Linked DNA regions of Elephas maximus indicus. The protein of the gene in region 1 purifies or fractionates together with the protein of each later gene. This does not show direct contact. Links are inferred from orthologs where the notes say so. Each region holds a gene or a part of one and is shown on either strand. Other genes may lie near its edges.

Region 1 (7,311 bases):
AAAAAAAAGAAAACAGACTAATAACCCAATGTAAAAAATGGGCAAAGAATATGAACAGACACTTCACCACAGAAGACATTCAGGTGAGTAACAGACACAGGAGGGAATGCTCGAGATCAGTAGCCATCAGAGAAATACAAATCAAAACTGAAATGAGATACTATCTCACCCCGACATTACTGGCACTAATTTAAAAAAAAAAAAAAACAGAAAATAACAAATGTTGGAGAGGTTTTGGGGAGACTTCAACTCTTACGCACTGCTAGTAGGAATGTAAAATGGTACAACCACTATGGAAAATGATAGGGCACCTCACTAAAAGGCTATAAATAGAGATACTGTATGATCCAGAAGTTCTACTCCTAGGAATATATCCTAGAGAAATAAGAGCTGTCACATGACTATGCACACCCATGTTCATTGCAGCATTTTCACAATAACAAACAGATGAAAACAACCTAAATGCCCATCAATGGATGAGTGAACAAATTATGGTACATACACACAATGGAGTACTACCCAATGATAAAGAACAATGATGAATCCTCGAAACATTTCATAACATGGATGAATCTGGAGGGCATTAAGCTGACTGAAATAAGTCAATCACAAAAGGACAAATATTGTAGAAGACCACTATTATAAAAACTCAAGAAAAGGTTTACGTGCAGAAAAAAACAAACAAAACAATCTTTGATGGTTCTGAGGGAGGGGAGAGGTGGGGAGGGAAAAACACTGACTAGATAATAGATAAGTGGTAACTTTGGGGAAGGGTAAAACAGTACGCAATACTGGGGAAGTCAGTACAACTTGACCAAGGCAAAGACATAGAAGCTTCACAGATACATCCAAACTCTCTGAGGGACCAAGTTACTGGGCTGAGGGTGGGGACCATAGTCTCAGGGGACATCTAGCTCAATTGGCATAACATAGTTTATAAAGAAAATGTTTACATCTGACTGTGGTGAGAAGTGTCTGGGGTCTTAAAAGACTGCAAGCGGCCATGAAAGATACATCTATTGGTTCCATCTTGGCTGGAGCAATGGAGAATGAAGAAAACTGAAGACACAGGGAAAGATTAGTACAAAGGACTAATGGACAACAACTACCATAACCTCCAGCAAACTAAGCCCAGAACTACTAGATGGTACCCAGCTACCACCACAGACTACTCTGACAGGGATCACAATAGAGTGTCCTGGATAGAGAAGGAGAAGAATGTAGAACAAAATTCAAATTCACAAAAAAGACCAGATTTGCTGGTCTGACAGAGACTGGCGAACCCCCTGAGACTATGGCCTCTGACACCTTTTTAACCCAGTACTGAAGTCACTCCTGAGGTTCACCTTTCAGCTCTGGTGGCATAGTGGTTAAGAGCTACTGCTGCTAACCAAAAGGTCAGCAGTTCGAATCCACCAGGTGCTCCTTGGAAACCCTATGGGGCAGTTCTACTCTGTCCTTAGGGTTACTAGGCGTTGGAATCGACTCAGTGACAACAGGTTTGGTTTATAGAGTAAACAATAACACATTCGAGGAAAGTGCTTCGTAGTACAATCACATTGTTGTTGTTAGGTGCCGCCCAGTCGGTTCCGACTCATAGCAACCCTATGCACAACAGAACGAAACACTGCCCGGTCCTGCGCCATCCTCAAAATCGTTGTTATGCTTGAGCTCGTTGTTGCAGCCACTGTGTCAATCCACCTCGTTGAGGGTCCTCCTCTTTTCTGCGGACCCTGTACTCTGCCAAGCATTGTGTCCTTCTTCAGGGACTGATCCCTCCTGACAACATGTCCAAAGTATGTAAAACGCAGTCTCGCCATCCTTGCTTCTAAGGAGCATTCTGGCCACACTTCTTTCAAGACAGATTTGTTCGTTCTTTTGGCAGTCCATGGTGTATTCAATACTCTTCGCCAACACCACAATTCAAAAGCGTCAACTCTTCTTCGGTCTTCCTTATTCGTTGTCCAGCTTTCACATGCATGTGATGCCATCGAAAATACCATGGCTTGGGTCAGGCGCACCTTAGTCTTCAGGGTGACATCTTTGCTCTTCAACACTTTGAAGAGGTCCTTTGCAGCAGATTTACCCAATGCAATGTGTCCTTTGATTTCTTGACTGCTGCTTCCATGGCTGCTGATTGTGGATCCAAGTAAAATGAAATCCTTGACAACTTCAATCTTTTCTCCATTTATCACGATGTTACTCATTGGCCCAGTTGTGAGGATTTTTGTTTTCTTTATGTTGAGGTGTAATCCATACTGAAGGCTGTGGTCTTTGATCTTCATTAGTAAGTGCTTCAGGTCCTCTTCACTTTCAGCAATCAAGGTTGTGTCACCTGCATAACGCAGGTTGTTAATGAGTCTTCCTCCAATCCTGATGCCCCGTTCTTCTTCATATAGTCCAGCTTCTCGTATTATTTGTTCAGCACACAGATTAAATAGGTGTGGTGAAAGAATACAACCCTGACGCACACCTTTCCTGACTTTAAACCGATCAGTATCCTCTTGTTCTGTTCAATCACATGTACCAGACTAAATGCGCACACCAGCCCAAAAACAAAGACAGAGGGCAGGAAGGGACCGGAAAATTGGATGAATGGAAATGGGGAACCCAGGATGGAGAAGCGGAGAGTGTTGGTACATCTTGGGGTTGGCCACCAATGTCACAAAACAAATGAGAAATTAATTCGCTCTATAAACTTTCACCTAAAGCACACGCACACACACAAGAAAAACCTCACCATTTTAAAGCGTACAATTCAATGATTTTTAGTATATTTGGCAAGGTTGTGCAGCCGCCATCTGTTACCTAATTCTGGGACATTTTCATTCAAATCTTGTACCCATCAGCATTAATTCCCAGTCTCCACCCCCATCTCACCTCACTCCCACCTCTTGCAACCACTAATCTACTTTCTGTCTCTATGAATTTGTTTATTCTGGACATGTCATACAAATGGAATCATACAATAAGTGGCTATTTTGTGCCTGGCTTTTTTTACTCAGTATATTTCCAAAGTTCAGCCATGCTGTAGCATGTATCAGTACTTCATACCTTTTTGCGGCTGAATAATATTCCATTGTATGGATATGTCACTTTTTTTACCCAATTATCAGTTAATGGACATTTGGGGTTTTCCACTTTTGGGCTATATGATGCCATGAACATTAGTGTACAAATTTTTGTGTGGACATATGATGGAATTGCTGGATCACATGGTAACTCTGTTTAACTTTTTGAGGACCTGTTTTCCAAAGCAGCTACCCTATTTTATATTCCAACTAGCAATGTGTGGTGGTGTTGTTGTTAGGTGCTGTGGGGTTGATTCGAACTCAGACTGACCCTACATACAAGAGAAGGAAACACTGCCCAGTCCTGCTCCACCCTCACAATTGTTGCTATGTTTGAGTCCATTGTTGTAGCCACTGTGTCACTCCATATCATTCAGCACTGACCCTCTACTTTACCATACGGTCACTATGAGTCAGAATCAACTCGATGGCAATGGGTTTTGGTTTATTTTACCAAGCATGATGTCCTTCTCCAGGGACTGGTCCCTCCTGATAACATGTCCAAAGTACGTGAGACAAAGTCTTGCCATCTTTGCTCCTAAGGAGCATTCTGGCTGTACTTCTTCCAAGACAGATTTGTTTGTTCTTCTGGCAATCCATGGTACATTCAATATTCTTTGCCTACATAATAATTCAAAGCCATCATTGTAGGAGGATTTTAATTTCTCCATATCCTCCACAACACTTGCTATTGTCCATCTTTCTTAATGTAACCATTCTAGTAGGGGTGAAGTCATAGCTAGTTGTGGTTTTGATGTACATTTCACTAATGACTATAGATATGGAGCACCTTTTCATGTGCTTATTGGCCATTTGTATCTCTTCTTTGAAGAAATGTCTCTTCAAACCTTTTGCCCATTTTTAAATTGTGTTGTCTTTTTATTGTTGAGTTATAAGAATTCTTTATATATTTTGGATACTAGCGCCTTGTGCACATGGGTTATTTTGAATATTAAATTATATAGTGTCTATGAGAGCGGCTTTATAAAATGTTTCAGAGGTGACTCAAACTGAGGCGATAACAAACAGTGAAAAGACAGATGTATGCAAGTTCCACGTCTGCAGGCGAGCCGGGACGTAACCTGCGCGTGGGGCTTGCAGCCGGGTATCCTCAATTTCCCCACCCCACCAAGCCCCGCCCTCCGTCCTTTGACCCGCGCCGTTTCCGGTTGGAGACGTGGCTCGGGACCGCCATCTTGGCAAGAAGCGAAGCGGCGGCGGCTCCTGTCAGGGGGGCGGCAGGTCCGGAGCGGCCGGTGCTCCCCTTCCCCTAACCCCAGCCCTCTGCCCAGTGCAGCCGGAGCGTGGGTGCGCCCCACCACCGCCGTCACCATGGTAAGACCCAAGCCGGGCTCGAACTCTCGGGGTCTGGGCCTCACTCGCCCCCTCTCACTGCCGGCCGGGCTGGTACGGGGACCAGAGGAGCCGCGCCCCTAGGGCCTCGAGCCAGGCGCCCTCCTCGGGCTCGGGCAGCGGTGTGGCCTACCCCCGCTCTTGGCCTCCGGGAGGCCCGAGGGAGTTGACGCCAGTCCCTCTGTGGTCGCACCCTCCCCACACCCCAACCGGCTGGACTCTTCTCTAGACCCGGCAGCTCGGACGGGGCAGGGTCTTGGCTCTGCGAGGACCTTGTCGTCGATGTCCTCTGGGCTCTGCGCTGCGGACTTCGGCGCTACTGCCGGGTCGCTTCCGTGGACGCTTCGGCTCAGCAGCATAGGCCTCTCCTGAGGGGGCTTCTCTTCCTTCTGTGTTCAGCTTGTCTCTCATCCCTGGTGTTTGATAGGCCATTGATGTAGAAATACAAATGGGTTGGTGTTCAGGACTTTGGTTTGTCCGATTGGGGGAAATGGCATAGACCGGGGAGGAGTAACTTCTAACACTAATTTGTAGGATCCTGTGAGTCGGAATCGACTCGACGGCACTGGGTTGGGTTTGGTTTTTGGTTAGGGCTCCTGAAAACTTCGACCACTTTTATAGAACCTGCTTGTATCCATTTGTCTTTGTGACTGAGCGTACGCTGGGGAAATGTCAGTCAGTTACCGGAAGACAGGATTTCTGTCTTCAAGGCATTTATTGTTCAGGTGAAGAAAATATGTACGTGGCTTATGATTGATTAGATGTCTCACAGGACAAGGGGTAAAGGGCTGGGTGGGCCTTACGCTGAGACCTGTTACATAGCCTTTAGTTGCATTATCTTTGTGCTCTCATCCATTGTAGAGATGGAAAAAATTAATGCAGGTGAGAATAGGACAAAACACGACAATGTTGATTCCACTGAATCTTGCTTTATCACTACTGATTTGTGGACATTGATGAAGTAGAAGAAATTAGTCTGTTCCAAACAAGCTACTGAAGAATTTTTTAGGGCACCTTATGCCTTTCAGTCTTTTAAAGGGCGTTCTTTTTTTTTTTTTTTTAATTCTTTTTTTGCCAATAGATTAATAATTTGCTTTAAAGCATCTTCCTAACTCCTTGAGGATGGCAGTATAATTTGGTGCTATTCATAGTAAGTGCTATCAACAATTTTTTAGGTGAAAACCTGGGTGGTGTTGGGATTCATGCTTGGGTTTTAAACCACTGAAAGGTTTGATTCATAGAACTTTTGTGTTACACACAAAATATCCAAAAACTTTTTTTTTTTTTTTTTCAATTCTACTAGGAGGCTTAGTATCCAGACAGTGATTTTTAAACTCCTTTTCCTTTTACGCACTGGAAGTATTTGTAGTGCGTTTTAGAGCATATACTTTTAATAGCAAAGTTAAAGCCTTGTATTATATAAATCAAATATAGATAATCTGTATAAAAACCTTGCTTGTTAAAAGGTCATTGGAACTTAGTAGTTTTAATTCACCAATAACTGAGGAATGGTAAAGCCGTAGGTATTGAGCATACAATTTTGTACAGATTTTGTAAAAATACATTTTGTATACTCAATAAAGTATACATTTTATATGTTATTTTGACATATGTGTACATACATACAGTTGTGACCTGTTTAAATATTCATATATTTCTGAATTATTTGGGAATTGGCATGATTCAGATACCCACATATTTGTATATTCGGGAGAACAACTTAATCTCAGTCCATTCTGCTCTGTAGAGTCCTAAGACATTGGCATTATTTCTGTGCAGTGTCTTTGAATCCTCCTCCTTTATGACAGTAAAAATATCCAAATAGGGTAAAATTTTGTCCTTGTATTGTTAGGACTTCTTTGAACTAAAAGTTCTATCAAAACTTCTAAAAGTTGATTTTTTTTTCCTCAACATTTTATTATAAAATTTTCAAACATAAGAAAAGTTGAAAGGGCTTTACAGTGAACACCCATATGTCTGCCAGCTAGATTCTATAACCAGCATTTTACCCTCCTTGTTTTATCACACATTTAATCATCCCTCCATGCATCTTTTTTTCTGCATTTCAAAGTAAGGTGCAGATATCTGCACATAAAAGTTGGTTTTGAAAAATAAGTGTTTCTTTTGGCTTTAGTTGGAGCCTTGGTTAAGAGCTCAGCTGCTAACCAAAAAGCCAGCAGTTCAAGTCCACCAGCTCCTCCTTGGAAATTCTGCTCCAGTCGACTCAGCGGCAGTGGGTTTGGTTTGGTTTTTGGTTTGGGCCTTAGTTACTGAAGTATATGCAGAATGCCCTAGACTACACAGTCTGAGTATATAGGTGAACAAATGCAAAAGCAGGTGGCTTATGATGGCTGTTAGAAAATGAAATAATGGGATCTTTTGATTGGATCTTTTTTCTAGTTTTTTGCAAATTAGTGAGAAAATATTCTTAACATTAGATAATGTTATAATCAGTTCTTTTTCTTAATAAACTTACATTTGAACGCATAAAGTTGTTATTTAAGTCTTTAATGGTAGCAAGCCATCTGTGAAATCTTTGCTTATCTACAGAGTGTTGTTCTTTTCTTATTTGCTCAGAATAGGCAGTGAGTAAACTTACTAGTAAACTTACTCATTAGGACCCTAGTGTTCCTAAAACCACTTATGGTGGTGGTTGCATTAAATAGAAATGATAGTAGATTCAGTTCCAAAAAGTCATTAGTTATTGGAAAGCTAGATTTGGGCCTTGCATAGCTAATCTAACGGTGCCCTGGTGGTGTAATGGTTAAGCACTTGGCTGCTAACCAAAAGGTGGGCAGTTGAAACCCACCAACGGCTGCGAGAGAAAATCCTGGCTATCTGCTCCTGTCAAGATTACAGCCAATCAGCCTGGTGCTAGGCTCTGCCA
Region 2 (7,971 bases), on another chromosome or scaffold:
CATGGTCCCCAGGCCTTCTGTTAGCCCAGGGCAGGAACCATCCCCAAAGCCAACTCTTCAGACAGGGATTGGACTGGACAGCAGGATAGAAAATGATGCTGGTGAAGAATGAGCTTCTTGGATCAAGTAGACATATGGGACTATGGCATCCCTGTCTGGAGGCGGGATGAGAGGGCAGAGGGGGTCAAAAGCTGGCAGAATGGACACAAAAAGAGAGAGCAGAGGGAAGGAGTGTGCTGCCTCATCAGGGGGAGAGCAGTTAGGAGTATATAACATGGCATATATGAATTTTTGTATGAGAGACTGACTTGATTTATAAACTTTCACTTAAAGCACAATAAAAATTAAAAAAAAAAAAAAAAAGGGTCAGTCTCAGGTTCTGACCATACTGTCCAGAAGGCCTGGGGAGACAGGACCACTCCCACGGGAAACAGGACCTCTCTCAAAATGAGAAAAAACAGCTACAAACATCCATTAACAATCGAGACATGGAATGTACAAAGTATGAATCTAGAAAACTTGGAAGTCATCAAAAAGAAATGGGACTAATGGATCACAGCTACCGTGGCTTCCACCAGACTGAATCTAGTACAACTAGATGGTACCTGGCTACCACCACCGACTGCTCTGGCAGGGATCACAATAGAGGGTCTCGGACAGAGCCGGAGAAAAAAGTAGAAAATTCTAACTCACACAAAAAAAACCCAGACTTACTGGTCTGACAAAGACTGGAGAAACCCTGAGGATATGGCCCCTGGACAAGTAATGAAGTCACTGTTCAGGTTCACCCTTCAGCCAAAGATTAGACAGGCCCATAAAACAAAACAAAGAGGCACACCAGCCCAGGGGCAAGGACTAGAAGGCAGGAAGAGACAGGAAAGCTGGTAATAGGGAACCCAAGGTCGAAAAGGGAGTATTGACGGGTTGTGGAGTTATTAAGCAATATCGTAAAACAATATGTACACTGTTTAACAGTAGCTAGTTTGTTCTGTAAACCTCCACCTAAAGCTCAAAAAAAAAAAAAAAGAAAGAAACAGAAACACGTATGGCCGTTTTGAATCAGACAATTATGGTCTACTATGCCAGACTGCCAAAAGAACGAACAAATCTGTATTGGAAGAAGTGCAACCAGGATGCACATTAGAAGCAAGGATGGCAAGACTGCGCCTTACACATTTTAGATACGTTGTCAAGAGGGATCAGTCCCTGGAGAAGGACATCATGGCTGGCAAAGTACAGGGTCAACGTAAAAGAGGAAGACCCTCAATGAGGTGGACTGACACAGTGGCTGCAACAATGAGCTCAAGCATAACAACGACATAAACCGGCAGTGTCTCGTTCTGTGGTGCATAGGGTCGCTATTGAGTTGGAACCGACTCGACGGCACCTAACAACAACAACGACATGCCGGAATGACAGCTTGAAGAGAAATGGCATCACATTCATTGTCAAAAAGAACATCTCAAGATCTACCCTGAGGTACAGCACTATCATTGATAGGATAACACCCATAAATCTACAGGAAAGACCAGTTAATACAACTATTCTTCAAACTTACACAGCAACCACTAAGGCCACAGACGAAGAAATTGAAGATTTTCAGCAACAGGACTACAAATAGCACTAATCACAGGCCGTAATTATGTATCCAAACCTTCTTCACTCACCATTTTTGGGACCTGAGACAGTGAAGGTGGGGCAAGGCCACTGCCATGTTCACTCTGCTTTAAAGGCTTGCCCTCAAAATCACAGCGAAGTCTACACACCTTCCTAAAAGGCCCTGCCGCTCCTCTCCTTTTACCTGCTTCACTCGCTGGGTCTTGCCATGCTGAATGATTTTCTAGCTCTTAAACAGCCAACCACCACCCGTGTGTCAGTGTGTCCTACTGTGGTGGCTTATGTGTTGTTGTGATGCTGGAAGCTATGCTACTGGTATTTCAAGTATCAGCAGGGTGGAATGGTTCAGTGGAGCTTCCAGAATAAGGAAGGCCAGGAAGAACCCCTTGGTTCTGAAAACCAGCCAATGAAAACTCTATGGATTACAATAAACCACTGTCTGATACAGTGCTGGAAGATGAGCCATCTGGGTTGGAAGGCATTCAAAATGCACAGTGGCTGCAACAATGCACTCCAGCACACTACAGACCACGAAGATGGTGCAGGGCAGGGCAACATTTCATTCTGTTATACACAGAGCCAGGGCCGACTGGGTAACAATAATAAATATCCAAGCTCACGCCCACCACTCTCCTTCACACCACTCTCTTGCCACTTCCTCACTTCGTGTTTCTTCTTTTCCGTCTGTCTTTTCTGCTAGGCTGAGATTTCCAAGAGAGCTGGGATCTTTGTCTATTTGGGTTATTGTCCCGAGTACTGCAAGAACACATTCCATGGCCCGTTCTAATCCTCAATAAGTACAATGAGTACTTTATTGAATGAATGAATGAGTTTTGGCAGAAACAACTGAGCTAGCAGGCAAAGTAATTATTTGGGGAAGCGACCCTCTCTCCGAGCCTTGAAGTGCTTGTCTGCGAAATAAAGATAAAGAGCAGTCCCCTCTTCACGGGGACGGAGAGTACGGCGGGCACAGTGTGCGCTCGACAAGTGGGACTTATCATCATCATCATATTATTATAAAGTGGAATAACTACCTCCCTCACTCGAATACATTCCCGGGCGCAGAGCGAGCCCTTTATAAACAAAGCTGTTACAGATTTAGACTTTGGAATAAGACAATGTTAATTCCTTGCCGCGCTCTTAAGAGGTGAGCGCAGGGAATATGCTGCGAGAAAAGGGAGAGTATTTAGCAGCTGACTGTGACCACAAGAAGCTGCCGGCACCTCCGCCCCCAGAGTCCCCCAGCCTCGGCACAGCCGCACCTTCACCCGCTGCGCCTCGTTGATGCACTGCTGGTAGCTGCCGATGTAGAAGGCGTTCTTCACGTCGAACAGCTCGTCCACTTCCCCGGAGCCGCCAGTGACCGGACCGGGGGCCGGAGGCGCCATGTTGCTGTCGTCTCACCCACTTCCCTTTCCGGAGGGACACGTCGGCCGAAATCAGGGACCGCCGCGGAGCATGCCGGGAAATGTAGTTTACTTGCTCCAGGTGACAGGGAGATGAACCAATGGGAAGCTCATAGATACGAGTCAGGGGGCGGAGTGCAAGCCTGTCCCGCACTGCATCTTGGGGAACGCATGAGGCAGCGGACGAAGGGGGGGATTGGCGGAGGGGGCTAGTCACTATGAACGAAAAGGCTTTCGTGACGTCATCGGCGCGCACCGGAAACGCGGCTCATTACCACCCCGCGACTGGGGAAGAGGATGCCGTGTTTCGCGGAGCTCGGGCTGTCATCGTGGCTAGTGGAACAATGTCGGCAGTTGGGTCTGAAGCAGCCTACGCCCGTGCAGCTCGGCTGCATCCCCGCCATCCTGGAGGGTGAGTGTGCCGGCCGCTTTCCCAGGAGGTGTCTCCGCTTTTCTCCCCCTCTCTTCCCTTCTCGCGGCCTTTGTCCACGCTGGTTCCGCGAGGTGAGGCGCAGTCTTGGGCGTTCCGGGCGAGTCTGGGCTTCGGAGGTGGACAGGGCGGTGTTGGCTTTCAGACCGCGTGGCGGACCTTGCGTCCGCAGAGACGTGACGTAACCTCTAAAGTTGCATAGTCTCAGAGCACAGGGAAGGTTGACCATTAAGTCTGGTCTTTTTACAAGTATTTGGGGTCTGCATCCCACTACTCTCCTCCTCCCTCAGGGGTTCTCTGTTGTGTTCCCTGTCAGGGCAGTCATCGGTTGTAGCCAGGCACCATCTAGCTCTTCTGGTCTCAGGCTGATGTAGTCTCTGGTTTATGTGGCCCTTTCTGTCTCTTAGGTTCGTAATTACTTTGCGTCCTTGGTGTTCTTCATTCTCCTTTGATCCAGGTGGGTTGAGACCAATTGATGTATCTTGGATGGCCGCTTGCTAGCATTTAAGACCCCAGATGCCTCTCTCCAAGGTGGGATGCAGAATGTTTTCTTAATAGATTTTATTATGCCAGTTGACTTAGATGTCCCCTGAAACCATGGTCCCCAAACCCCCGCCCCTGCTACGCTGGCCTTCGAAGCATTCAGCTCATTCTGGAAACTTCTTTGCTTTTCGTTTAGTCCAGTTGTGCTGACCTCGCCTGTATTATATGTTGTCTTTCCCGTCACCTAAAGAAGTTTTTATCTACTGTCTAATTAGTGAATACCCCTTTTCTTCCCTCCCCCTTCTCATAATCATCAAAGAATATTTTCTTCTCTGTTTAAACTATTTCTTGAGTTCTTACAATAGTGGTCTTATACAATACTTGTCCTTTTGCAACTGACTAATTTCACTCAGCATAATGCCTTCCAGGTTCCTCCATGTTATGAAATGTTTCACAGATTCATCACTGTTCTTTATCAACGTGTAGTACTCTGTTGTGTGGATATACCATAATTTATCTATTCATCCGTTGATGGGCACCTTGGTTGTTTCCATCTTTTTGCTATTGTAAACAGCGCTGCAGTGAACATGGGTGTGCATGTATTTGTTTGTGTGAAGGCTTTTATTTCTCTAGGATATATTCCAAGTGGGATATAATCCAAGTGGGATTGCTGGATCGTATGGTAGTTCTATTTCTAGCTTTTTAAGGAAGCGCCAAATCGATTTCCAAAGTGGTTGTAGCAATTTAGATTCTCACTAGCAGTGTATAAGTGTTCTAGTCTCTCCACAGCCTCTCCAACATTTATTGTTTCGTGTTTAGTTGGGAGGATTTTTTTTCTCTTTATGTTGAGGTGTAATCCATACTGAAGGTTGTGGTCTTTGACCTTCATCGGTAAGTGCTTCAAGTTCTCTTCACTGTCAGCAAGCAAGGTTATGTCCTTTGCACATCAGAGGCTGTGAATGACTATTCTTCCAATCCTCACGCCCCATTCTTCATATAACCCAGCTTCTTGGATTGTTTGCCCAGCAGACAGATTGAATAAGCATAGTGAAAGGATACGACCCTAACGTACACTTTTCCTGACTTTAAATTACCCAGGATCCCCTTGTTCTGTTCGAGTGACTGCTTCTTGATCTATGTACAGGTTCCTCGTGAGCACAATTAAGTGTCCTGGAATTCCCATTCTTTGCAGTGTTATCCATAGTTTGTTATGATCCACACAGTGGAATGCCTTTGCATAATCAGTAAAACACAGGTAAATATTTTTCGGTATTCTCTGCTTTCATCCAGGATCCACCTGACATCAGCAACGATATCCTTCATTTGATGTCCTCTTTTGAATCTGGCTTGAATTTCTGGCAGTTCCCTTTTGATATACTGCTGCAGCCGCTTTTAAATTATCTTCAGCAAAATTTTACTTGAATGTGATATTAATGATGTTTTTCAATAATTTCCACATTTGATTGGATCACCTTTCTTGGGAATAGGCATAAATACAGATCTCTTCCAGTCTATTGACCAGGTACCTGTCTTTCAAATTTGTTGGCATGGATGAGTAAGCACTTCTAGCACTGCATCTATTTGTTGAAACATCTCAATTGGTGTTCCTTCAATACCTGGAGCCTTGTTTTTTCGCCAATGCCTTCAGAGCACCTTGGACTTCTTCCTTCAGTACCGTCGGTTCCTGATCACATGCTGCCTCCTGAAACGGTTGAACATAGATCAGTTCTTTTTGGTATAGTGACTCTGTATATTCTTTCCATCTTGTTTTGATACTTACTGCATCGTTTAATATTTTCCCCGTAGAATCCTTCAATATTGCAAATTGAGGTTTGAATTTTTTCTTCAGTTCTTTCAGCTTTGAGAAATGCCAGATGTGTTCTTCCATTTTGGTTTTCTACCTCTAGGTCTTTGCACATGTCATTGTAGTACTTTGTTTTCTTGAGTTGCCCTTTGAAATCTTCTGTTCAGTTTTTTTATTTTATCATTTTCCCTTTTGCTTTAGCTACTCAAAGTCAAGAACAAGTTGCAGAGCCTCTTCTTACATCCATTTTAATCTTTCCTTTCTTTCTAATCTTTCAGTGTCCTCTTGCTTTCTTCATGTATGATGTCCTTGATGTCATTCCACTACTCCTCTTGTGTTTAGTCATTAGTGTTCAATGCATCAAAGCTGTTCTTGAGGTGATCTCTTAATTCAGGTGTGGCATACTCAAGATCATAATTTGGCTCTCGTGGACTTGTTCTAATTTTCTTCAGTTTCAGCTTGAACCTGCATATGAGCGATTGATGATGGTTTGTCCTGCAGTCAGCCCATGGCCTTGTCCTGACTGATGACATTGAGCTTTTCCATCTTCTCTTTCCACACATGTAGTCAGTTTGATTCTTGTGTATTCTATGTGACGAGGTCCGCGTGTATAGTTGCCATTTATATTGTTGAGAAAAGGTATTTGCAATGAGAAAGTCATTAATCTTGGAAGATTCTGTCATGCGATCTCCAGCATCGTTTCTGTCACCAAGGCCATATTTTCCAACTACTGATCATTCTTCTTTGTTCCCAACTTTTGCGTTCCAATCAGCAGTGATTATCGGTACATCCTGATGGCACGTTCAATCAATATCAGACTGCAGAAGCTGGTAAAAATCTTCAGTTTCTTCATCTTTGGCCTTAGTGGTTGGTACGTAAATTTGAAAAACAGTCGTATTAACTGGTTTTCCTTGTAGGCGTATGGATGTTATCCTATCAGTGTTGTATTTCGGGATAGATCTCGCAGTGTTCTTTTTGACGATGAACGCAATGCCATTTCTCTTCAACTTGTCATTCCCGGCATATTAGACTGTATGATTGTTTGATTGAAAATGGCCAATACCAGTCCATTTCAGCTCGCTAACAACTAGGATATTATCACATCAGCAAATGAAAGTCCTGAAAGCTTGACTCCATGCCTGTAATTAAGGTCAACTCTACTTTGAGGAGGCAGCTCTTCCCCAGTCATCTTTTGAATGCCTTCCAACCTGAGGGGCTCATCTTCCGGCACTATTATCAGACAGTGTTCCGCTGCTATTCGTAAGGTTTTTCACTGGCTAATTCTTTCCAGAAGTAGACCGCCAGGTCCTTCTGCCTTGTCTGTTTTAGTCTGTAAGCTCAGCTGAAACCTGTCCACCATGGGTGACCCTGCTGGTGTCTGAATACTTGTGGCACAGCTTCCAGCATCACGGCAACACGCAAGCCCCCACACTATGACGAACTGACAGACACGTGGGGAAGAATGCAGATTAGAGGAGGGAATCCCAGGTCTGGGAGGGAACCAGTATAAGGTGGTGGTGAGCAGCATGGCGTCTCGGGTCAGGTGGATGTGGCTTCCAGTCCAGCCCTGCTAGTCACCAGCTGCATGTCCCGGGCAAGTCTCCAAGACTCAGTTTCCCCTTTTGTTAAGTGAGGATGGTAATGGTGTTTCTGTTGTAGGTTTATTGTCGTTAGGGCTCAGATGTAAAGGCATAGACCAGGTGTTGCTTGTTAAATGTTTCAGTAAAAGAAAATTGCTTTGGAGTTGGCCCTGAGTCATGGCGACCACCTGTATGTCAGAGTAGATCTGAGCTTTGTAGAATTTTCAGTGGCTGATTTTTCGGAGGTAGATCACCAGGACTTTTTTCTGAGGTGCCTCTGGGTAGACTCAGACTGCCGACATTTCGGTTAGCAGCCGAAAGCGTTCATCTTTTGCACCACCCAGGGACTTCCATTCAGCCTGAGCTGTTGTGAACTGTGCCCGATGGAACCTTTGTTCTCCCTCTGGAGGTGTTGATGCTGCTCTGTCCTCTGCCAGGTCGGGACTGCCTGGGCTGTGCCAAGACTGGCAGCGGCAAGACAGCGGCGTTCGTCCTGCCGATCTTGCAGAAGCTATCTGAGGATCCCTATGGCATCTTCTGCCTTGTTCTGACACCCACCAGGTGAGCCCCCTGAGTGTGAGTTAACCAGCCATATTCACCTGGGCAAGTGCCTATACGTCTCTGAGCCACACTTTCCCATGTGTGAAATGG

What was found.
Region 2: the proteins of ARCN1 (region 1) and COPE purify together in Homo sapiens (affinity purification with mass spectrometry; 4 studies listed by BioGRID and IntAct, with this or other methods). This does not show direct contact. The link is inferred for Elephas maximus indicus from reciprocal best matches to the Homo sapiens genes ARCN1 and COPE.

What each region holds. Positions count from the first base shown.
Region 1 is NC_064835.1:11,060,703-11,068,013, forward strand, and holds the start of ARCN1 (coatomer subunit delta), read left to right. Parts: upstream 1-4,238; 5' UTR 4,239-4,403; coding exon 4,404-4,406; intron 4,407-7,311. UniProt on the Homo sapiens protein: Component of the coatomer, a cytosolic protein complex that binds to dilysine motifs and reversibly associates with Golgi non-clathrin-coated vesicles, which further mediate biosynthetic protein transport from the ER, via the Golgi up to the trans Golgi network.
Region 2 is NC_064821.1:38,773,981-38,781,951, forward strand, and holds the start of COPE (coatomer subunit epsilon), read right to left. Parts: upstream 3,041-7,971; 5' UTR 3,006-3,040; coding exon 2,880-3,005; intron 1-2,879. Other genes in the region: probable ATP-dependent RNA helicase DDX49, read left to right, coding at 3,321-3,435, 7,758-7,881. UniProt on the Homo sapiens protein: The coatomer is a cytosolic protein complex that binds to dilysine motifs and reversibly associates with Golgi non-clathrin-coated vesicles, which further mediate biosynthetic protein transport from the ER, via the Golgi up to the trans Golgi network.